Linked DNA regions of Arabidopsis thaliana. The protein of the gene in region 3 purifies or fractionates together with the protein of the main gene of each other region. This does not show direct contact. Each region holds a gene or a part of one and is shown on either strand. Other genes may lie near its edges. The genes, in order: AT1G24510, DL1, PEX7 and AT3G03960.

What was found.
Region 1: the proteins of PEX7 (region 3) and AT1G24510 purify together in Arabidopsis thaliana (affinity purification with western blotting, with the first as the bait; one study listed by BioGRID). This does not show direct contact.
Region 2: the proteins of PEX7 (region 3) and DL1 purify together in Arabidopsis thaliana (affinity purification with western blotting, with the first as the bait; one study listed by BioGRID). This does not show direct contact.
Region 4: the proteins of PEX7 (region 3) and AT3G03960 purify together in Arabidopsis thaliana (affinity purification with western blotting, with the first as the bait; one study listed by BioGRID). This does not show direct contact.

What each region holds. Positions count from the first base shown.
Region 1 is NC_003070.9:8,684,734-8,689,975, reverse strand, and holds AT1G24510 (TCP-1/cpn60 chaperonin family protein), read left to right. Parts: upstream 1-1,729; 5' UTR 1,730-1,874; coding exon 1,875-2,073; exon of another isoform or gene 2,074-2,173; coding exon of another isoform or gene 2,174-2,213; exon of another isoform or gene 2,214-2,286; coding exon 2,287-2,605; intron 2,606-2,708; coding exon 2,709-3,057; intron 3,058-3,200; coding exon 3,201-3,333; intron 3,334-3,414; coding exon 3,415-3,467; intron 3,468-3,559; coding exon 3,560-3,662; intron 3,663-3,835; coding exon 3,836-4,002; intron 4,003-4,105; coding exon 4,106-4,219; intron 4,220-4,301; coding exon 4,302-4,472; 3' UTR 4,473-4,705; downstream 4,706-5,242. Other genes in the region: BCP1 (homolog of Brassica campestris pollen protein 1), read right to left, coding at 918-1,277; ALB4 (OxaA/YidC-like membrane insertion protein), read right to left, coding at 5,010-5,242. UniProt on the Arabidopsis thaliana protein: Molecular chaperone; assists the folding of proteins upon ATP hydrolysis. Known to play a role, in vitro, in the folding of actin and tubulin.
Region 2 is NC_003076.8:16,819,755-16,826,998, reverse strand, and holds DL1 (dynamin-like protein), read left to right. Parts: upstream 1-1,982; 5' UTR 1,983-2,462; coding exon 2,463-2,591; intron 2,592-2,958; coding exon 2,959-3,022; intron 3,023-3,118; coding exon 3,119-3,226; intron 3,227-3,313; coding exon 3,314-3,415; intron 3,416-3,499; coding exon 3,500-3,550; intron 3,551-3,675; coding exon 3,676-3,737; intron 3,738-3,910; coding exon 3,911-4,001; intron 4,002-4,096; coding exon 4,097-4,161; intron 4,162-4,358; coding exon 4,359-4,553; intron 4,554-4,805; coding exon 4,806-4,925; intron 4,926-4,993; coding exon 4,994-5,064; intron 5,065-5,203; coding exon 5,204-5,429; coding exon of another isoform or gene 5,430-5,435; exon of another isoform or gene 5,436-5,533; coding exon 5,534-5,584; intron 5,585-5,682; coding exon 5,683-5,911; intron 5,912-5,984; coding exon 5,985-6,124; intron 6,125-6,209; coding exon 6,210-6,338; 3' UTR 6,339-6,715; downstream 6,716-7,244. Other genes in the region: AT5G42090 (Lung seven transmembrane receptor family protein), read right to left, coding at 1-169; AT5G42070 (uncharacterized protein), read left to right, coding at 6,880-7,085. UniProt on the Arabidopsis thaliana protein: Microtubule-associated force-producing protein that is targeted to at the leading edges of the forming cell plate during cytokinesis.
Region 3 is NC_003070.9:10,222,900-10,226,839, forward strand, and holds PEX7 (peroxin 7), read left to right. Parts: upstream 1-1,915; 5' UTR 1,916-2,023; coding exon 2,024-2,977; 3' UTR 2,978-3,423; downstream 3,424-3,940. Other genes in the region: AT1G29250 (Alba DNA/RNA-binding protein), read right to left, coding at 562-657, 782-846, 947-1,009, 1,243-1,291, 1,574-1,693. UniProt on the Arabidopsis thaliana protein: Receptor required for the peroxisomal import of proteins containing a C-terminal PTS2-type peroxisomal targeting signal. Specifically binds to cargo proteins containing a PTS2 peroxisomal targeting signal in the cytosol.
Region 4 is NC_003074.8:1,022,286-1,028,420, forward strand, and holds AT3G03960 (TCP-1/cpn60 chaperonin family protein), read left to right. Parts: upstream 1-1,858; 5' UTR 1,859-2,146; coding exon 2,147-2,297; intron 2,298-2,509; coding exon 2,510-2,772; intron 2,773-2,860; coding exon 2,861-3,007; intron 3,008-3,117; coding exon 3,118-3,279; intron 3,280-3,434; coding exon 3,435-3,512; intron 3,513-3,630; coding exon 3,631-3,764; intron 3,765-3,845; coding exon 3,846-3,918; intron 3,919-3,999; coding exon 4,000-4,077; intron 4,078-4,163; coding exon 4,164-4,286; intron 4,287-4,367; coding exon 4,368-4,462; intron 4,463-4,574; coding exon 4,575-4,784; intron 4,785-4,951; coding exon 4,952-5,009; intron 5,010-5,241; coding exon 5,242-5,319; 3' UTR 5,320-5,606; downstream 5,607-6,135. Other genes in the region: ECT1 (evolutionarily conserved C-terminal region 1), read left to right, coding at 1-89, 238-786, 871-1,083, 1,205-1,342, 1,441-1,482; AT3G03970 (ARM repeat superfamily protein), read right to left, coding at 5,859-6,135. UniProt on the Arabidopsis thaliana protein: Molecular chaperone; assists the folding of proteins upon ATP hydrolysis. Known to play a role, in vitro, in the folding of actin and tubulin. Contributes to stem cell maintenance through its impact on transcription factors trafficking through plasmodesmata.

The DNA.
Region 1 (5,242 bases), 1.5 Mb from region 3:
CTGGACAGTCAGTGAATATGGAACTTTCTTTATCAAGTATGATATATGAATATGAGAATGATGCATTGATGCTTTGTATGGTTGGTTATTGATAGGAATACCCCAAATACGAAGTGGTATTTTGATAGATAAGACTAAAGAGATCCTAAAGAAAGAAAGAGATCGAAAAAGAAAAAGGAAAAAGAAAAAGAAAATAGGTATTATTAGTTGAGTTTAGGACCAAAAGTGCAACACACCAATACGAACCCGTATACACTACTACGCGTACGGCTCTTCCTTCACTCCTTGTATGGGTCCCTCGCTGAGCTTCTATAGTGGAAGCTCCCCAAACCCAACCATGAAATTGGCTCCTCATCACATTCACACCTTTAAAATTCCAATGTAATATATTTTCTTTCTCTGGAGACAAAACTTATTTTCAATCTAGTCTATTAGTTTGAGTTATTATTTGGAGTTTAAAAAATATGTCCTTTTCTTTTATTTGGTATTTCTATCCGAGAACACTTTGGCTGATTCTCTGGCAAAGGCTAGTCTTAAATCTTGTATCATCTCCTCTAGTGATAGAGAGTTTGAGTAATCTTAACGTCCCTAAATGCATAAATATATGCATTTTGATTAGGATATTTTTTTCTTGTTTTTTTTTTGTTTGCATTTTGATTAAGATTTATACACGATGGTTACAATTTTACTTAATTAATTATTATGGCTTTTGACCCCGAAATCGTATATTATTATATTCAATTCAGAATTTTGTATCTAAACACCGTTAGTGAAAAGTTTTTTTTTTCAGTATTATTACAAAGACAACGTTTCTCCTAACAAAGGAGAAACAAATTACAACAAGATCATCACAATCATCCTTACATATAAATAATCTTCGTTTAAAATAACCTTCTTATCATAAAACAATGCCCAACTTAGAGTAACAAGAAAGAACCAGCAATGGATGTAACACCAACGACGACCGCAGAGACGCCAAGAGCTGCCGCACCGCTTTTGGCAGAATCAGCAGAGCCTGTAGGCGCATTGTCGTACGAGGAGTCACTTCCTAGAGGACCAGCCACTGCAACGTCACCGTCACCAGGAGTAGGAGCTGCATCGTCATCGGTGGTTCCGATTTGGTCATCGGTGACTGGAGCCTCGACATGATCGGTTTTGGAGGCAGCTGGAGCTTTGGAGGGAGACGCTGAAGGAGATGGAGAGGAGGCAGCTGCGGCAAGGCCAATGATGGCCATGAAGACGAGGGCAACCACGACGACAATGTTTTGGCGACCCATTCTTCTCTCTCTCCTTCTTACGTAGAACTCGTTTAATTTATTTTAGGGTTTGAGGTTTATTGATTGTGATGATTTCCGAAGATGAGTTTGATATGTATATATAGTTGTGTTTTGTGATCAAGACCAAAAATAAAATAGAAAACGTTTGAACTAAGATGTAGGATTACCTTACAATCCAATGTAAATCTACTGGAGTACCTAAAAATGGACTTGTTCAGATATAGATTTTGATTGGTGAACATGCGAATGAATATGAAACCATTCGTTCAACTTCAAATCGTCGTATTAACGAGTGTCTTATTAAAGAACCAAATTATGATAGTATTGCCATGAACATTCTATTCATCTTATATCAGATGGGCTTTAAACCCATAAGCCCAAACGTCTTGTTAGGCCCATGAATCAATTCCGATTTACGATTCTGCCATCAACAGCGAGTTAGGGTTTTACACTCGACCACTTTAAGCTCTCAAATCTTCCAGACATTCTTCTTCTCGCTTTTTTCCCCATTTCAACTTTTTTTTTTCCTCTCCAGTGCACTAGGAAACAAAAAAAACCCAAGATCTATAGTTCGATCGGATCGAGAGAAGCTCGAAAATGGCGCTGGCGTTCGATGAGTTCGGGCGTCCGTTCATTATACTGAGAGAGCAAGATCAAAAGACTCGTCTTAGAGGAATCGATGCTCAGAAAGCCAATATCGCCGCTGGTAAAGCCGTGGCTCGGATCCTTCGATCCTCTCTTGGACCCAAAGGAATGGATAAGATGCTTCAAGGACCTGACGGAGACATCACCATCAGTTCGTTTCTTCCTTTTGATTTCTTCATATCTGCTTTTAAATTTCTAGTTTCGCTCTTGTTTACTTGGCATAGTGTTTACTATGTTGATGCCGTAGTTTGATGAATAGATCCATCTACTTTTTGAAAATCGATTCGCTATGTCTGTTAACTTAGCTCAGCTCTACTACTACTTGTATATTGTTTGTAACCTCGCCTTTGTTTTGCTTTTGCAGCAAACGATGGTGCTACGATATTGGAGCAAATGGATGTTGACAACCAGATTGCGAAACTAATGGTGGAACTGTCGCGGAGTCAGGATTATGAAATTGGTGATGGAACAACAGGTGTTGTTGTTATGGCTGGTGCACTTCTTGAGCAAGCTGAACGTCAGTTAGATAGAGGAATTCATCCCATTCGTATTGCTGAAGGATATGAGATGGCTTCTAGGGTGGCTGTTGAGCATTTGGAGCGTATTGCCCAAAAGTTTGAATTCGATGTTAATAATTATGAGCCTCTGGTTCAGACTTGCATGACTACTCTGTCCTCGAAGATGTAATGTTCCTTTTTGATATTCAGGCTACTTTTCAATAGTTGTTGCTTGTTTTTACTTGGTTTATAGTATACTGTCTTAACTCTTTCTTGCTCATTGTTACAGTGTGAATCGATGCAAGCGCAGCTTAGCTGAGATTGCTGTTAAAGCGGTTCTTGCTGTTGCTGATTTAGAGAGGAGGGATGTTAACTTAGATCTGATCAAAGTAGAGGGGAAAGTTGGGGGAAAGTTGGAGGACACTGAGCTTATTTATGGAATACTGATTGACAAAGATATGAGTCATCCGCAAATGCCAAAGCAGATTGAAGATGCCCACATTGCCATTTTGACTTGTCCCTTTGAGCCACCGAAGCCGAAGACTAAGCATAAGGTGGACATTGATACAGTGGAAAAGTTTGAGACATTGCGCAAGCAAGAGCAGCAATATTTCGATGAGATGGTACAAAAGTGCAAGGTAGGTTTTAATTTGTATTAATTTATATTGTCAGTTGGATGTTGAGTAAGCTACTGAAGAAATCCTTTTGACAATGGTCATTAGTACCACAATGCATTTTATGATATGATTTATGTATGACCCTTATGATTTTAACTTTGCAGGATGTTGGTGCTACGCTGGTTATTTGCCAATGGGGATTCGATGATGAGGCAAACCATCTATTGATGCACAGGAATTTGCCTGCTGTCAGATGGGTAGGGGGTGTTGAATTAGAACTTATCGCAATAGCCACAGGTAAGTAAAGTACTCTTAAGCATCTAATGCTAGTGTTTGTATCAGTTATGCAAAGCTGATCAGAAATTTTTCTTTTTGTAGGCGGTAGAATTGTTCCAAGATTCCAGGAGTTGACCCCAGAGAAGTTAGGGAAGGTATTTTTTTTACTTTCACTAGGTTTTGCTTGTAAAATGTTAATTAGATTTTAAACAGACCATTGAAACCCAACATTTCCTGATATATTTAGGCTGGCGTGGTTCGTGAGAAATCTTTTGGCACAACAAAAGAACGAATGCTGTATATTGAGCACTGTGCGAACTCAAAAGCTGTCACTGTTTTCATCCGTGGAGGTAATCGCCTTGTCTTTTGTACTTATTAGCACTTTAGCAGCACTGTTTTGACTTTTGAATAGCTGATGAGAGATAAACATCGATGTACTGAATCTAATGCCTTCTAAGTATATGGTGGACAACGATATTGTATAACTGATTGATCCAACGATTTGTTGCGGAATATGGTTTAGGTAACAAAATGATGATAGAAGAGACGAAACGTAGTATCCACGATGCTCTGTGTGTGGCTAGGAATCTCATCCGCAACAAATCAATTGTTTATGGAGGTGGGGCAGCTGAAATCGCTTGCTCACTTGCGGTTGATGCAGCTGCTGATAAATACCCTGGCGTGGAGCAGGTAAAATATGATCTTTCCTCTTTGATACCCTGAAATGAAATCATTTGTTTCTCAAATTGTAACTCTGAATACTAATCATGTATAAATACTTCCTCATTTACAGTATGCAATTAGGGCGTTTGCAGAAGCTTTGGACTCTGTCCCTATGGCTCTTGCAGAGAACAGTGGATTACAGCCCATTGAGACACTCTCTGCGGTTAAATCTCAGCAAATTAAGGTTAGTAAACGACGAACTTTATTATCTATATCATTGACTTGCTTGTTCGGTGACTGAACAAACATTGGGTTTTGATGAACAGGAGAATATTCCCTTCTATGGAATAGATTGCAATGACGTGGGAACAAACGATATGAGGGAGCAAAATGTGTTTGAAACATTGATCGGGAAACAGCAACAAATTTTGCTAGCTACGCAAGTCGTTAAGATGATTCTAAAGATCGACGATGTCATCTCCAATTCTGAATACTGATTTGTTGCTACCTTTGTCCTAACCTTTGGCTTCTTCGGTGTTTTTTGTTTGCTTTCTATTAGCTTTTGATACCCTTCGACATCGTTATCCTTGACTTGTTCCCTTTGTTTTGCAACCTTCTATTTAAGAACATCGTCAGATCTTAATTTTTGTGTGTACTTGTCCACAGATCGAAGCACTCGTTTGCATTTTCTTTTCGATTTAGTAACTGATGCAGGTCTCATACTGTAGACTAAACTATTATCGTATTAGTGTAACACCAGTGAACGAGGACAAAAGTAATTGTTTGCTTGTACATAAGAACATAAGAAATATGAAACCAAGCTTCGAAGGCTTCAAATACCCATCTGCTATGGTCTTTGTACACAAAATCTAAACCCTGAAGACTAATGTTTCCCACTCTTAAGATCTATAAACTTCGAAATCTGTTGCAGAGGGACTACAAGGCCTGAGTACCAAGATTTCTCCTCGTCTTATTCAAATCTCAATTCCTCTTTGTTTGTTTGGCTTCGCCTTAAGACATGAAAACATGAGTCTTTACCTCTTCTCTGTTTCATGAGAATGCTGTTGTTCTGTATCATGGCCAATGCCGAATGTCCCATTCGTAGTCTCGTCCTTTTGAATGGATGGCTTCCCATTCACAGCTACTGTGCCATCGGATGTTTCATCCACAGCAGAAAGTTCTGTTTTTTTATCATCTTCAGCGACAATGGCTGTATCAGATTTTTCATCTTGTTCATGTGCTTTGTCTGTATTTTGATTAGATAGAG
Region 2 (7,244 bases), on a different chromosome or scaffold from region 3:
TGGAAGCGTCAAGCTCAAGACGACCGCTGTGAGTGAAACCGAATTCGTCTAAAGGGATGATTGGACGATCATCGGATCGGATCTCTGATTTACGAATCTCAGCCGAAGCTATGGAGATGGAGATCAAGAGAAGGATAAGGATCGATGAGAAGCGTGAAGAGAGATCCATGGGAACTAGGGTTTCGTTCTTCGACTTCACAGAGAGATTAATCTGATCTCAGATGTGAGATCCAAAGCAAAATCAATCCAACTTGTTCTTCTTCCGATGAAAACGGTTGTGTGTGACCAACCAAATTAAATTAGTCTTTTTTTTCTTTCTAAGAAACAAAATAAATACCATTATTTTATTAGCAACAAGAGAACCCATTTTCCTTCATCATTAAGGGAATAAACCATCTTTGACGGATTAGTTGATTTCTAGAAACAAAAATTTCACCAATTCACCGATTCCAACCGAATGGCCGGCGTTTCCAGTGTATTTGAAGGAGTTGTAGAGTGATAGGGAAGAATTCATAAATTTCTCTTTATCTTTAATTTCTCGTAGTGCAAATGTAAAAGCGGATAAGTTGGCACGAAAGATTCGTACCGTACCGCATCATGTCACGTATGTAAACAATATCTCTCGGGATTGGATCTTTTGAGTTCAAATTTATATCGGTTGACAAAAAAAAAAAAAAAAAAAAAAGGAAGAAATTAAAGTATTGATGAATTTCGTTTTGAATTGGTCGGAAATTGGATGTATAAGTTGAGAACAAATTATCCATCAATTTAAATCATAAAATGTTTTTCCGAATGACTTTTTTTTGGAGATGTATTATTTCTAAATGTTTTTACGGTTTCTTTAGATCTCGTTCAGATTGTATCAACAAGCGCGAAACCTTCATTAAACATAAATGGTATACAAAGAAAGCTTAAATACTAAACCGGAGAGATATTATCTATTTATAATAGATTGGTTTGACTGTTTGAGTGTCTATGGTCTAACTCTTGTCCTCTCTACACAACCCGACACTAAACCAACATCTTCCACTCACATATGACGAAAAACATCAGAAAGTAGTAGAAGAGTACTCTTAGAGATTTTGTTCAAGAATCGCAATTCGAAAAAGTTACACTGCAAATAAACCGTGTGACCCGTGCAAGTATATGTGCTTTTGGAAGCTAAATTCATGCAGCTGCTACGGAGACATACAGTCTACATACCTAAATATATTACATAGCATGTCTCACTCCAACCTCATTTGTATTTCATATTAGTCTCAACATATTCCCATAAAGCATATGTTAAACCTATTTTACATCACGTTTTCACTAACTTCAAAATTCTAATTTGAGGGATAGAAGTTGGTCACATGATACATATTTGTTAACGTATGAACATCATAAAATCTAACAATTGATACAAGAGTATGTAGGATACAAAGTTACACGTTGTGTTTGTCTCAAACAACATTAGTAACATTTTTTAAAAAAATTGTGTAGACAAACACAACATTAGTAACATTTAAAAAAAAAAATGTGAACCGGTTTATTTTTTCACCACTTAGCTGGAAAATAAATAACGTGTATTTGCGTAAACAATACATAAGGTTTAAAAATGTGTTAGTGCTATGTTTTATACATTTCTAAAAAGCGTTTGGATCTCACCAACCAAACATAGTATTTGCCAAAATGCAAACGCTATCTAAAATCGATGTGACATTACTAGTCAGATTTAGTGGGTTTGTTCTAGAAAAGATCTTTATTTTATACATTCAAATTTTCAAAACTACAGTTATTTTGTTGTTTAGTGTCATCCTTTTGAATAAACAATCATAATCCTTAACGTCTCTTATCTTTTTTTTGAATCCTCAATCTATGGACCGTTTGAACTGCAATCGTAATGAGGATGTTCGTGGTCCACATGAAATCACTTTACTCTACTAATAAGTGATAGTTTTTTTATTCGAATTTTAACTCGTTACATTCTTTTACAAGAAAATCGACCTTGTTATATTTATTTATATGGTTGGTCATGCATGCAATAGTATTATCATTACTTTACCTGGTTAGAGAGATGTGGAATATTAAGGGATTGGTTGAATATATACGACACACCTCGTCGTTTTTATTTTGTTTTTGGTCAACTCCTCGTCGTCTTTGAATTCTCGAAATAAACACCATGCCGTTTCAAATTTTCTTTGGAAAAGAAAAGACCCTGTATTGGCTTTTATATAAACCGCTTTCTTCCCCTTTACTTTTTCCCAACACTAGCAAGCAAAAATTCTTCATCGACTCAAATTCAAAAACTCATCTCTCTCTATCTCTATTTCTCTGGTTCCATAGCTCACCGTCGCATCGCAGATCTACTCCTTCCGCAATAAATTTTACCGGCGGAGGTATCAGATCTCGCCGATCTGTTGTAGCAGCTACTGTATTTTGGGCTTCTCATTTGATATTGGGGAAACGAGGAGTAGAGGACGATGGAAAATCTGATCTCTCTGGTTAACAAGATACAGAGAGCTTGCACGGCTTTAGGAGACCATGGAGACTCCAGCGCTTTACCTACTCTTTGGGATTCCTTGCCTGCGATCGCCGTCGTTGGTGGTCAGGTTTGCATCTCGATCTCCTTCCCCTTCCATTATATGCTTGACGATCTATCTCACGATTCGTTCGTTTTTTTTGCGATTCGGAATTGATATTGAGCTGAGGTATTCGGATAAATTTGCCCTAAACTTCGTTGTTTTTGCTTATCAACATCCGGATCGTGAGGAATTATAGTTTAATAGCTTCTACTATGAACTAGCTTTGCAAGCAATTGGTATTGAGGAATGTTGACTTGGCTTTGACTTGGATATTTTTTCACTAGTTGGTCTTGAACCATTTAATTTAAGCTACGATTGTTGTGGAGAGGGGTTTCTGTACTTTGATAATTCTATGTGGCATTAAGTTTATGTTGTATCCTTATTGTGTTGACAGAGCTCAGGGAAGTCTTCAGTCCTGGAGAGCATCGTGGGAAAGGACTTTTTACCCCGTGGATCTGGTAAATACAGTGTTAACACTTCTTACTTAGTTTTAATTATGAAATTGCTTATTTCCTTGAGTAATGACAATATGCATTTGCGGTAACTATTTGTAGGCATTGTTACTCGAAGGCCCCTTGTCTTACAGTTGCAAAAGATCGATGATGGAACCCGGGAGTATGCAGAGTTTCTTCACCTCCCGAGGAAAAAGTTTACTGATTTTGGTGGGTTTCGGCTATCTCAATTTGCAGTTCAAGTTTCACCTTCTCCTGTATTCCATTGATATTTGATTAATTTAATCACCTCTATAGCTGCTGTGAGGAAGGAGATTCAAGATGAGACTGACAGAGAGACTGGACGCAGCAAGGCTATTTCTAGTGTTCCCATTCACCTTAGCATATACTCTCCCAATGGTAAGGACAACCCAAAATCTCTTTCCAGTTGTATGTGCTTTTTGTTCATTCTCTAATTTTTTATCCTCTTTACTATGTGTGCAGTTGTCAACTTGACACTGATAGATCTTCCAGGGCTTACAAAAGTTGCTGTTGGTAAGTTACAGTAGAGCAAGAAGTTTTGGTCTATTTTTTCTAGCGATGAAGCATGAGGCAATAGACTTTATTCTCTACCATACATAATTTGGCATGACACGACAAATTTCTTTTGGTTGATGCAGATGGACAATCTGATAGTATAGTGAAGGACATTGAAAACATGGTTCGGTCCTACATTGAAAAGGTAAATGAAAATGCTTACTCCCAGACCCTTTAATGTTTTATAGATAGCTATCGCCAGTTTAAATTAGATTCGGTAATATATAAGTATTCTCCCTATATTTGTTATGTTTTCGTAGCGCCAAATGAGTTGACACTATTCTGTTTTTTTTTTTATTTAATTAAATTTCCTTATAGCCCAACTGCATCATTTTGGCAATCTCACCTGCAAACCAAGATCTTGCTACCTCAGATGCAATTAAAATTTCCCGTGAGGTTGATCCATCGGGTGAGCATTTTACAAACAATTCATTTTTCCACCTAAGAGACCCAACACATTATTCTGTCATCCTATGTCTCTTATAATCTTGGTGATCTTCACAGGGGACAGAACATTTGGTGTCTTGACAAAGATTGATCTTATGGACAAGGGGACGGATGCAGTGGAAGTAAGTTGAATTCCCAGTTTATAGAACATCTGTACTAGAATTTCGAATTACTGTGAATAAAATGTGTTGTAATTAGTCTATGATATGATGTTGGAGCTATAAAATGCTAATTTGTGTAGTAACATCATAATACTTATGTTCCCTCATTAATGTTTATTGCGTGCACCGCTACTTACCAAATGATATTTTTTGCTCAGATTCTGGAAGGGAGATCTTTTAAACTTAAATATCCGTGGGTTGGTGTCGTCAACCGTTCCCAAGCAGATATTAACAAGAATGTCGACATGATTGCGGCTCGGAAAAGAGAGAGGGAGTACTTTTCCAATACTACTGAGTATAGGCACCTTGCTAATAAAATGGGTTCCGAGCATTTGGCAAAGATGCTCTCCAAGGTACGTGCTTTCACGAGGCTAGGGGTAGTTTTCTTCACCAGGTTCTTTATAATAAGTAAGTTGGCGTTGTGAAATTTGTTAGGAGTGGTAAATAAGAGTTTCAGGGCCAGTGTTTTCACGATTGCTGCTAATTTTCTTAGCAGCCGACAGAAAATACTAAGAAACTACGAAGTTATGGCAATGCTTAGCACGTTTCTCTGTATAAAACCATCAGGACAGAGCCTAATTGCAACAATTTTATTTGTTGCGCAGCATCTAGAACGTGTGATCAAGTCGAGAATTCCTGGCATTCAGTCACTTATTAACAAAACAGTATTAGAGCTGGAAACTGAACTAAGTCGCCTTGGAAAGCCTATTGCAGCTGATGCAGGGGTAAATTGTGTATTCTTTTATTTTTGATTGAATTGCGCTATCAAGATTTACTTAATGTTCTGATGCAGGGGAAGTTGTACTCAATAATGGAGATATGTCGGCTTTTTGATCAAATATTCAAAGAGCATCTTGATGGAGTGTACGTTTTGACTCTTTTTACTTCAAATGTTTAAGATTACACCATGAGTTGTTATAGCGTCTGAGTTGATATTTCTACTCTTGACCTTCTGAAACTACAAAAGGAAAATTGTAATTTAAGACTATGGTTGATTACACAGGCGTGCTGGTGGTGAAAAAGTGTACAACGTGTTTGATAACCAGCTTCCTGCGGCTCTGAAGAGACTCCAATTTGACAAGCAGCTAGCGATGGACAACATCCGGAAGCTGGTCACTGAGGCTGATGGTTACCAGCCTCACTTGATTGCTCCTGAGCAAGGTTACCGTCGTCTCATTGAGTCTTCTATTGTCTCCATCAGAGGCCCTGCTGAAGCATCTGTTGACACCGTATGAACTCTTTACTTTCATCTCTAAAAAGATGTATCAAAAACCTAACACAAAACAATAAGCTTCTCTCTCCGTTTTTTTTTTTTTCTATGGTTAAATATTAGGTTCATGCTATCTTAAAGGATCTGGTTCACAAGTCTGTGAATGAAACTGTGGTACGTTCTTTTTTCTTTTAGTAATATATATATATATATATATATCTCCAACAACTAGTACTTTTGTACAATGTTATAGACGGTTTGAACATGTGCAGGAACTAAAACAATACCCAGCTCTGAGAGTGGAGGTGACAAATGCGGCGATAGAGTCGCTGGATAAAATGCGGGAAGGAAGTAAGAAAGCAACACTGCAGCTGGTTGACATGGAGTGCAGTTACCTCACTGTTGATTTCTTCAGGAAACTTCCCCAGGATGTTGAGAAGGGTGGTAACCCCACACACTCCATTTTCGACCGCTACAACGATTCCTATCTCAGACGAATCGGTAAGGTTAACCCATATAAATAAATAATTATCTGGTACCGTATATCTCACAAATTTTAGACATTTGGCAACAGGATCCAATGTTTTGTCTTACGTGAACATGGTCTGTGCTGGCCTGCGGAATTCAATCCCCAAGTCCATCGTATACTGCCAAGTCCGAGAAGCGAAGCGCAGTCTCCTCGACCATTTCTTTGCGGAGCTCGGTACCATGGATGTAAGTGCTCTCTGCCTTTTTTCTTAACCTAAAGAAGTGTCATTCGGGTAAACACTGAGTCAACTAATATGGTGATATCCAACAGATGAAGAGGCTCTCGTCGCTATTGAACGAAGATCCAGCAATCATGGAGAGACGCAGTGCCATCTCAAAGCGGCTAGAATTGTATCGAGCAGCCCAATCCGAGATCGATGCTGTTGCTTGGTCCAAGTGATACCGGCATGTCATGTCCACTGTTTTGCTCGGTTCTGGTCGGTGTGGCTCAGACTCGGAGCAGAGATTTAGGGTCTGTAATTTGTATAAGATGATCTTCCCGATACCATGCAGTATCGTTTTATATAACATCCACATTGTTTGTCCTACCTCTATGTTTTTTGTCCATCACCCGATATGTTACGTATCGTTTTATAACATCCACATTGTTTGTCCTGCCTCTAATGTTTTTTGTCCATCACCCGATATGTTACGTATCTTTTATAACATCCACATAGATTAGATTTTCTCTATTCCCTTTATTTAATTACTATAAAATGTATTTTTCGCATATGATAATTTTTCTGTAACAATAGTATAATATTAAACATTCTACCCAAAAAAAGAGTATAATATTTAAATATGATTACCAATAAGAAAAAAATTCTAATAGTTTAAAATAAAAATTTGTAATGTACTCTTTTTTATTTTGTTTTGCGTTTCTGAATTTGTGGCCATTATCTTCTCACACTCTCTTCTCTTAGCTCACAGAGGAAAGAAAAATGGCGAATTCCATTTCATCAATATCTCTGCCTCGATGTTTCATCTTCAACAATGGTAGTCACAAATCAAGGCCATGGCCAAGCTCAAGCAGTTTCTTTCTCAACAAATCATCAAAGCATCATCCTCATCCACTACTCTCTCTTTCTTCTTCGCCGTCTTCCGTCGTAGAAACTGATAATGACGACGACAACGACCTCACTTTCAGGTACCCTTTTGCTTCTCTTCATCGATTCCATTGGAAAGCTTAAACCTTTCTCAGCTAATCCAATTTCGTTGACATTAAGGATTTTAGAGTTAGTGATAGATTAGGGATTGCGTAAATGATGAAATCATAGAGACTCTTTTCTGCTGTTAACTTGTTAGT
Region 3 (3,940 bases):
TGAACTATAATATACTATTATTATAGTTTATTGGTGCTAAGAATGTGAACCAAAGTGATTAGTTAGCAAGTAATAACCTTATTGCACACTATAATACTTTCTTATATTTCTTCTAGTATGGTTACGTTTTAGTGTTAAACTAAAAGAACTGACAAAAAGAAAAAAATTAGATATAGCCATTAGTTATAACTTATAGCTCATGATGTCACATATGTATCATGTGGCTTACATTTGTTCAATTATCCCAGAGATAGTGATTTGTTATCCATAAGCCATATCACTAACCTTTTTTATGGACAGATTCCAAGTCTTCAAAATAAAATTTCAACTACATGTATTACTCTACATAATAAGGTTGGAAGCTGATTTATGCAACGAAGCCATCTTTTTTATACTTCCTACGATCTTTAAATAAAAATGCTCAGAGGTACAGAGGACACAATCCAAGGTGAAATAAAAAAGTGAACCAAAAATTAACGAAATAGAAGTGTCTTAAAATTAAGCAGATAGAGATAGGGAACGAAGAAATAAGATCGTTGAACAGAAAAAACTTGAAACAATCTAGTTTTGCTCTTGGGCTTCTGCAGCCTCCTTCTCTTCATTAGCTGCAGCCATTAGTTCATCAAACTTCTCAGACTTGGCAAGCGTGATCTCAATCTACAAGTCACAGTGTCACCAATTTAGCAACCAACATAGCAATTTCCCAGAGAACAAAAATCATTAGACGGAAGCTAGAATTCCACAGCATAAGCAATTTATCAAATGATTCGAAAATATATACCTTAGCTTTCTGCACAGGACGACCCCTTGAATCATCCTTGATATCCACAGTCGATGTCATGATCTCTGCAGGAAAAAACAATATCCAAATAAGCAAAACTTAGTCACTGAATCTTTCAAATCTCTTGTGCTAACATTAACTCATTCAAGATTAAGAAGATCTTACTCTTTTCAACAGCAAAGCCATTGTTCTTCAATATCTCAGCGACCGTAACAACAGTGGCAATAGCTGCACAACGCACAAATCAATGTTTTATGAGAAACCAGAATAAACTCTTCCAATAAAGAAAGCTCGGATAAGATATTACAAAATCACAGAAGATAAAAGATTCTATGTCATAACAATAAAAGGAAACAGCTTTTCTGATAATAACTTTGAATTTAATGAACTCAGTTACATAGTTTAAAAACCATACATATTAGATTTGATATATAAACAAGATCATAAAGAATAAACATTACCCATTCCTAGTGCAGACAATTCGACATCAGTGTACTGCTGCATGTACCTCTGTTAACAAAACACCAAACATGGTCAATAACATAAACAGGTTTAATCAAATCTAAAGAGCAAAACAAAGTTCACAAATCTAAGGAACAAACATTGATAAAGAGTCACATAAACAACACAGAACCACCAGTAATAACTCATCAAAGTCAATAACAGATAAATTAACACTCATGAACAATCACAGACATTTCCAGACTTGGTACTCAAATAAGAACACTTCGAATCCATAGATTTCAATCTAAATACGAATTTATTAAGATTCGATTAAAAGGGTTTCGTTACCTTGGCGAGATTGACGTAGAAGAACAATGGTTTCTTAGTGTTGGAAACTTGAATCCGATTCTTCTTCTGGGTATCAACAGCCAAGTTCATGTTGTTAACTCCTTCCGTGATCTCTTCCATTGAATCTAACTCAGAAAAATTAAAACTTCTCCTCTCGAATTTAGATTTCTCTCTCACTTTTATCTCAGAAAACGAATGAAATTGAAGAGACAGAGAGACGACGATGAAGCTTGAACCAAACCCCCAAAAAACCCTAACTTGAAATGCCAAACGACATCGTTTTAACACAACCTACACAAATGGGCTAGGCTCCAGCCCAATAGGCCCAATTGGGGGGAAAATTAATTCTGCGATGAGCAAAATCGGCGTTATCCGATCAGATCGTTGAATTGAATCTTCGAGAAGACTCTTCTTTTGATTCAATCACTCACCGGAGAAGAAGAAGAAGCTATGCCGGTGTTCAAAGCTCCGTTCAATGGCTACTCTGTGAAATTCAGTCCATTCTACGAGTCACGCCTCGCCGTCGCTACAGCTCAGAACTTCGGAATTCTCGGAAACGGCCGAATCCATGTCCTCGAGCTCGCTCCTGGAGCTCCAGGCGTAACTGAATCCGTCTCGTACGATACAGCCGACGCTGTATACGACGTATGTTGGTCAGAATCTCATGACTCTGTGCTCATCGCCGCAATTGGTGACGGCTCAGTGAAGATTTACGACACAGCTCTTCCTCCTCCTTCTAATCCGATTAGATCATTCCAAGAGCACGCGCGTGAGGTTCAATCTGTGGATTACAATCCCACGCGGCGCGATTCGTTTCTCACTTCTTCGTGGGATGATACGGTTAAGCTTTGGGCTATGGATCGTCCGGCGAGTGTAAGGACTTTTAAGGAACATGCTTATTGCGTTTATCAAGCAGTTTGGAATCCTAAACATGGTGATGTGTTTGCTTCTGCTTCTGGAGATTGTACTTTAAGGATTTGGGATGTTAGAGAACCTGGATCAACTATGATCATCCCTGCTCATGATTTTGAGATTTTGTCTTGTGATTGGAATAAGTATGATGATTGTATTTTAGCTACTTCTTCAGTGGATAAGACAGTTAAGGTTTGGGATGTTAGGAGTTATAGAGTTCCTTTGGCTGTGCTTAATGGTCATGGATATGCGGTGAGGAAGGTGAAATTCTCGCCGCATAGGAGGAGTTTGATAGCTTCTTGCTCTTATGATATGAGTGTTTGTCTTTGGGACTATATGGTGGAAGATGCTTTGGTTGGTAGGTATGATCATCATACAGAGTTTGCTGTTGGGATCGATATGAGTGTTCTTGTTGAAGGTTTAATGGCGAGTACTGGTTGGGATGAGCTTGTTTATGTTTGGCAGCAAGGGATGGATCCTAGAGCCAGTTGATTCATAAGTAAGTTTGTGATTGCAAAACAGTTTCATCTTTATTTGTTGTGGAATTGGTTTGGTTTTTGTTAAAGGAATGTAGTTGGAATAAAGTTGGGATCTTGCTTAAGAAGAAATGTAAGTTACTGAGAGTTTCACATATGAACAAGGTTATCTTTCGAATTGTGATTGATGGTAATAGTAGATAGATTGCTTATGTTCTAGTGTATATGTTAACCTGTTACAATGAGACCTGATTAACATATATATTAGGACTAAGATATATGTTAATCTTCTATAATGTCCAAAGTAATGACATAATATATATAAAGTCAATTACTTTAGGGTAATGTACCTTTTATAGTATACTGTAGAATTCGAATTTTGTTCTTTTTCATAGTTGATTGACTTTATTGAGTGGCATAAATGTACATATTTATAACTTTCTAGAGCATATTGCAGTTTCGAGCTTTTGCATTTTATGCGTCTTCAGGTAGAAGCTTATTAAAATCACAAGAACATTCTTACGGATCTTCCATTTCAAGAATCACTTTCTACTTATTACTTTACTATTATACCACTCTCTTTTTTATCTTATTCCATAGTATTAAAGATTCTTTTATTTTCTTATGATTTTTTTTTTAATATAGTACTCCGATCCCAAACAAAAGATCTCAAAACACATTTTGTCAAGTCACAAGACTCACAACCGTCTCAACTTTTGGACTAAATTCAAATCAGACAAATAATTGGGTTAAACATATGAAAGGGCTTGACATTATATCATATAGTATTAAAGTGAACTATAATATTGCTTTATCCACGAGGTCAAGAACATACTATATGTAATAGACACACATTAGTATTGACTTTTTATGTTAAAACTAGAGATTAAATTTTGTGAATTTAAATGACACATGTACGATCTTTTACTTTTGTTGTGATGCACGCGGAAGATGTTGCGAAGGATTAGAAATTGTTAAA
Region 4 (6,135 bases), on a different chromosome or scaffold from region 3:
TCCCAGCAAACTATCCTTCTGGTGGCTACCCTGATCCGAGGTTTGGTTATGACCGCAACAGCAATCACAGTTCCTTTTCACATCTCATGGTATGTTGGTTACTTCACATGACCTCTCTGCCTCTTTTCTGTCTTCATATAGTCAAGAGAATGTGTGTTTTGTTCTCTTCGTCATCTCTGCTGGGACTTGGGATTTTTTTTTTGTCTAATTACTGGCTACAACTGTTTTATTTAACAGAATCCACACAGCTCACAAGAAGTACCAAGTTTTGACCAATTGGGATATAATGATCATTTGTATTCCAACCATGGATTGTATGGACTTTACGGGAATGTAATTGACTCTGGTCATGCATATGGAACTTTTGGTTATGATTCCTGGAAACTTGGGCGAGGATGGTATCCCGTTGATGGTTATAGAAAGACCAGAAGCTTCAATCATGGGCGTGGTTACAGTGATGAGAAAGCAGATAGGCTTAATGAGCTATGTCGAGGACCAAGGAGTAGTGATTTCAAGAATCCACAAGTTCTTAACTCTTCAATGCTAGATGCAATGAAGCAAGACGTTTCAGCAGTAGATCTCCAGCGCTACAATGGGGAGAATTTCCCTGAATCATTTGTGAAAGCAAAATTCTTTGTGATCAAGTCATACAGCGAAGATGATGTTCATAACTGTATTAAGTATGGTGCATGGTCGAGCACACCAACTGGCAACAAGAAGTTGAATGCTGCATATTATGAAGCCAAAGAAAACTCCCAAGAATGCCCTGTGTATCTTCTGTTCTCGGTCAGTATGAGGTTACTTCACGTCTTGTGCAATATCCTTTCAGATTTACATTAAGTAACTCACTGTAATCGGTTTTATCTACAGGTGAATGCAAGTGGGCAATTTGTTGGTCTTGCGGAGATGGTAGGCCCTGTTGATTTCAACAAGACAATGGAGTATTGGCAGCAAGATAAATGGATTGGTTGTTTCCCTGTGAAGTGGCATATCATCAAAGACATACCAAACAGTCTCTTAAGACACATTACCCTGGCGAATAACGAGAACAAGCCTGTCACTAATAGCAGAGACACTCAAGAGGTCCGTTGAACTTCCCCTAAACCCTTTCTTGGACATGTTTGAAGCCTAATTGAATTCTAATAAATAATGATTATGGCTGTTAGTCAGGCTTTTAAACTGTACGGTGATGGTTTTGGTACAGGTGAATCTGGAGCATGGGACCAAGATCATAAAGATCTTCAAGGAGTATATGAGCAAGACATGTATACTTGATGATTACAAGTTCTATGAGACAAGGCAGAAGATCATCAGAGACAAGAAGATCAAGCAAAAGAAACAGGTACAATTCCTTAAACCCTGCTGCATCTAAAGCACATTAACCACCCCTCTTGATACAGTCTCTGGGATTGTTTCATTTTGATTGTTTTGTTATATTAGGCCCTTGATGGAGCTTCGGGGGAAACAATTAACTTGAGTTGAAAGATGGAATCAATGCAAGGAAAGAAGAAGATGACTTAATTAAAAGAACTTAGTTTTGAATTATGTTTTTTCTTCAGGGTTGGGATTTCTAAAAACCTAATACACATCTTTAATCTGTGTGTTTTCTCTGCTTATCTAAACAAAACTTACATTGTCTTTTGTTCCTCTTAAGGGGACGCACATCTGATAAAACAAAAACTCAGGCTTTCCTTCAAAGTTCATATCATGTTATTTTCAAGTTATTTCTCTTTTAGTCCCTAAACTTTCATATAATAAGACTCTCATCCGTAAATGTCAAAAATCTCACATTTTGGCCCACATCACCATAAAAGTTAAAACGACACCGTTTAGCACAAAAACCAGAAGGAATGGTGTTCTCTATTCGTCCCTAAACTTTCATATAATACAACTTTCACCCCTAAAGATTTAAGATCTCAATTTTTGGCCCCCATCCCCTTAAAATTTAAAACGACACCGTTGTGAACTCCCATTTTAAAACCTCGAAAGTTTTCTAGGGCAATCTCGGCCACTTTTACTCACAGAAAACCTTCTCTCTAAACTTCTTCGAAAATCTCACAGAGCTTCTTCTTCTTCGCTTTTAGGGTTTTTGCTCTATTGTTTCGAGTGACCCAACTTCGAAGCTTATAGATCGTTACCTTAGAAAATGGTGGGTATGTCGATGCAGCCATATGGTATTCAATCGATGCTTAAAGAAGGTTACAGGCATCTCTCTGGTCTCGACGAAGCCGTCATTAAGAACATTGAAGCTTGCAAGGAGCTCTCCACCATTACTCGCACCTCTCTCGGTCCCAATGGTTCGTAATGTTTCTCTGATTGGGATTTGATCTAATACTGAAATGATGAATCTCGTTTTCTCCGTTTCGTTTTACTTTTACTTGAGTGTTGTAAGTAGGATCTCGCTTGTGTATAGTTTAAGCAAGCTTGATCTGTTACTGTAAAGGTGAAGTCTTTTTCTAGGGATTCAGATTCGGATTAGAACTGAGTTCTTCTGTTTATAATGTTTCAGGAATGAATAAAATGGTTATCAATCATTTGGACAAACTGTTTGTCACAAATGACGCTGCTACTATAGTGAATGAGCTCGAGATTCAGCACCCGGCTGCTAAACTTCTGGTTTTAGCTGCTAAGGCTCAGCAAGAAGAAATCGGAGATGGAGCTAATCTGACAATCTCCTTTGCTGGTGAACTTCTTCAAAACGCTGAGGAGCTTATCAGGATGGGACTTCATCCGAGTGAGATCATTAGTGGATATACTAAAGCTGTCAGCAAGGTTGGTGAATACCTGAATTACTGTTTTGTGCTTTTCAATTTGTTTGTCTTGAGTATTTGACGAATGCTATTGGATTTTGATTATGCAGGCTGTTGAAATACTGGAACAACTGGTTGAGACTGGTTCTGAGACCATGGATGTACGTAACAAGGATGAAGTTATTTCTCGGATGAGAGCAGCTGTTGCAAGCAAGCAGTTTGGGCAAGAGGAAATAATTTGCTCTTTAGTTACTGACGTAAGATATTCCTTGCTATCTATTTGTTTCCTGTTTCGTTGTTCAGATTGTTATTTATTCAAGTTTATTGCAGATTTAGATTTTACTTGATGGGTTCATATTATTTCTAGGCATGTATTCAAGTCTGCCCAAAGAATCCAACGAATTTCAATGTGGATAATGTTCGTGTTTCCAAGCTTTTGGGAGGAGGCTTGCACAATTCTTGCATAGTCCGTGGTATGGTCTTGAAAAGTGATGCTGTTGGTAGCATTAAGCGAATGGAGAAAGCGAAGGTGAGATCTCTTTCTTTTGTTTATGCTTTTGACAAAGTTTTTTTTGTCTGAATTGATCAATGTTTGGGTCCCCTATGAAATATAGCTTTGTGGGTTTGTCTTTTCTGTTTTTGATAGCTTAATGTCTCTAAATCAATTTGTTATGCTTTCTTCAGGTTGCTGTATTTGCTGGTGGCGTTGATACCACTGCAACAGAGACCAAAGGAACTGTCCTCATTCATAGTGCTGAGCAGGTTAGATTTGTTACTGTCTTTCTAAAATTTCAAAATTACGATTATGGCTTCCTCAAAGATGGTTGTGTATTTGTAATCGTTATTGTGACAAATTTCTCTTTTTATATTGGATTTGTAGCTAGAGAACTATGCAAAGACAGAGGAAGCTAAAGTTGAGGAGTTGATTAAAGCAGTTGCGGAATCAGGAGCCAAAGTCATTGTTAGTGGAGGATCAATTGGAGAAATGGCATTGCATTTCTGTGAGCGCTACAAGTATGTGTAGACCATATCATGTTATACTCGTCTTAGCTATTGTTATTGTCTGCATTCTGATACCCCATTTTTTCTTGGCAGGATAATGGTATTGAAAATCAGCTCAAAGTTTGAACTGAGGCGTTTTTGCCGTACAGCGGGGGCTGTCGCCCATGTAAGTGTTATTAATTGGCTATCTGAATGAGTATCTAAGGGTGGTTTTATCCTAGCTTTTAATCCTTTAATTATCAAACAGTTGAAGCTTAGCCGGCCAAGCCCTGAAGATCTTGGATATGTTGATTCTATATCGGTTGAGGAAATTGGTGGTGTGACAGTAAGTACTCCGAAGTCAATTCCAATATTTTTGGTTAATTATTTTTGTCTTTCATTAATCATAGACAATTCTCGGTCTTCTTTTAGGTCACGATTGCAAGAAACGAGGAAGGTGGTAACTCCATCTCCACTGTGGTCTTGCGTGGAAGCACAGATAGCATTTTGGACGACCTTGAGAGAGCTGTTGATGATGGAGTTAACACATACAAGGTAATATCTAGCTTCATTTGTACCATCTATATCGTATAATTCATTAATTTGTGACTGTTATTACTTCAATTTTATTTTCAGGCCATGTGCAGAGACAGCCGTATTGTTCCCGGGGCTGCAGCGACTGAAATAGAGTTGGCTCAAAGGTTGAAGGAATACGCCAATGCAGAAATAGGGTAACTTTCTTTTACTTCATTTTTTCAAAAATTAAACATGTGAGGCTAGCTTTTAAAGCAAAACTGTCTATGGTTTGGGGACTGAACTTAGGATTCGCTTTTGAAATTTCAGGTTGGACAAATATGCCATCACCAAATACGCTGAGAGTTTTGAGTTTGTACCCAAGACCCTTGCAGATAATGCTGGCCTCAATGCGATGGAAATCATAGCCGCTCTGTACACTGGACATGGATCTGGAAACACAAAACTAGGCATTGACTTAGAGGAAGGTGCTTGTAAAGATGTTTCAGAGACAAAAGTATGGGATCTTTTTGCAACCAAGTAAGTTTCAGACTGTCTTTTTGCCATCAAATATTTCTATCAGACGTCTCTATACTTGCTTAGCAGTTGTTCTTGAACATATAAAAACTGGAGTAGAATTTTCTGACTGGTTACAAAGATTACCATTCACTTTAATTGATAACTAAGACGCTTAAGTCTCTGTGCAGGTTATTTGCCCTTAAATATGCTTCAGATGCTGCATGCACTGTACTTCGTGTAGACCAGGTATGCACAAACTGACTTGATTTAATCTTTGGTGAACGGAGCAATTTTTTATTATATTGTAAAGTGTTGATTCATCACATGAAGTAAAAAGATATTGTTCGGTGAATGCATTATCTTCCAGGATTAAGTCCCTTGTTCGTGAAAACTCTTAGATTCAATATTCAGTTCCACTGATTGATCTCATCTACTAAAACATGCATGTTTATACTCAAAATTTATGTAAAATGTGCAGATTATAATGGCGAAACCAGCAGGTGGACCAAGGAGAGATGCAGCTCAAGCTGCAGGTGCTGGTGCGGAGGAAGACTAAGCCGGAGAACAAATACCTCGTAGTGAAACTCTCTTCTTTTGTAACCTTCTGTTCCTGAAAGTCTGAGAAAATTTTGGTATGTCTCAGTTTAAGATTTGTGATCTTTGTAACGCACCACCAACTTAAGTGTTTTGCCTTCTTTTTCTGTTTTGCCTTGTTTTGGCTCGTCTCAACACTCAGATTTTCCGGTTTAGCTAGTGAAATTATTACTAGGATTTTTGGCTTAACTCTGTATTAATGTCAATTTGGTTTCTATTTGAATCGACTTTTGAACAAGTGACAAAATCATTCGGGGAAAAGAAAATGATCCACACATTGACAAAAGAACAAGAGAACCTAACTAGAAATTGAACCTATGTAAATATGTCTGGTTAACAGTTGTTTCGACTTTTGAACAAGTGACAAATTCATTAGGAAAAAGAAAACAAACAAACTAGTATTTGAACATGATCCACACATTGACAAAAGAACAAGAGAACTAAGCTAGAATTTGAACCTATGTAAGTTCTAAGCTTTTTAATGTTCATCCCTTAGACTTTTTAAGTCGGAACAAGATGAGGAGGCATCATATCATCCTGGAGATACATCCACATGAAAGAAGCAAACCCTGCAACTGCAATAGAGAAGACACTCAATCCCAATTTTAACACACCCTTGCTCCGTCCCAGACGTGGGTCTAGTTCAGTCTCCACTGTCTTAAGTTTGGCCTCAGAATCCAAATCTGTTTTTGGTTTCTCACAGATATCTTCTGTTGTGTTGGTTGGAGTTGTAGTACCAGAGGTATCATATATTGATGATGATGACGAGGTTTCACTG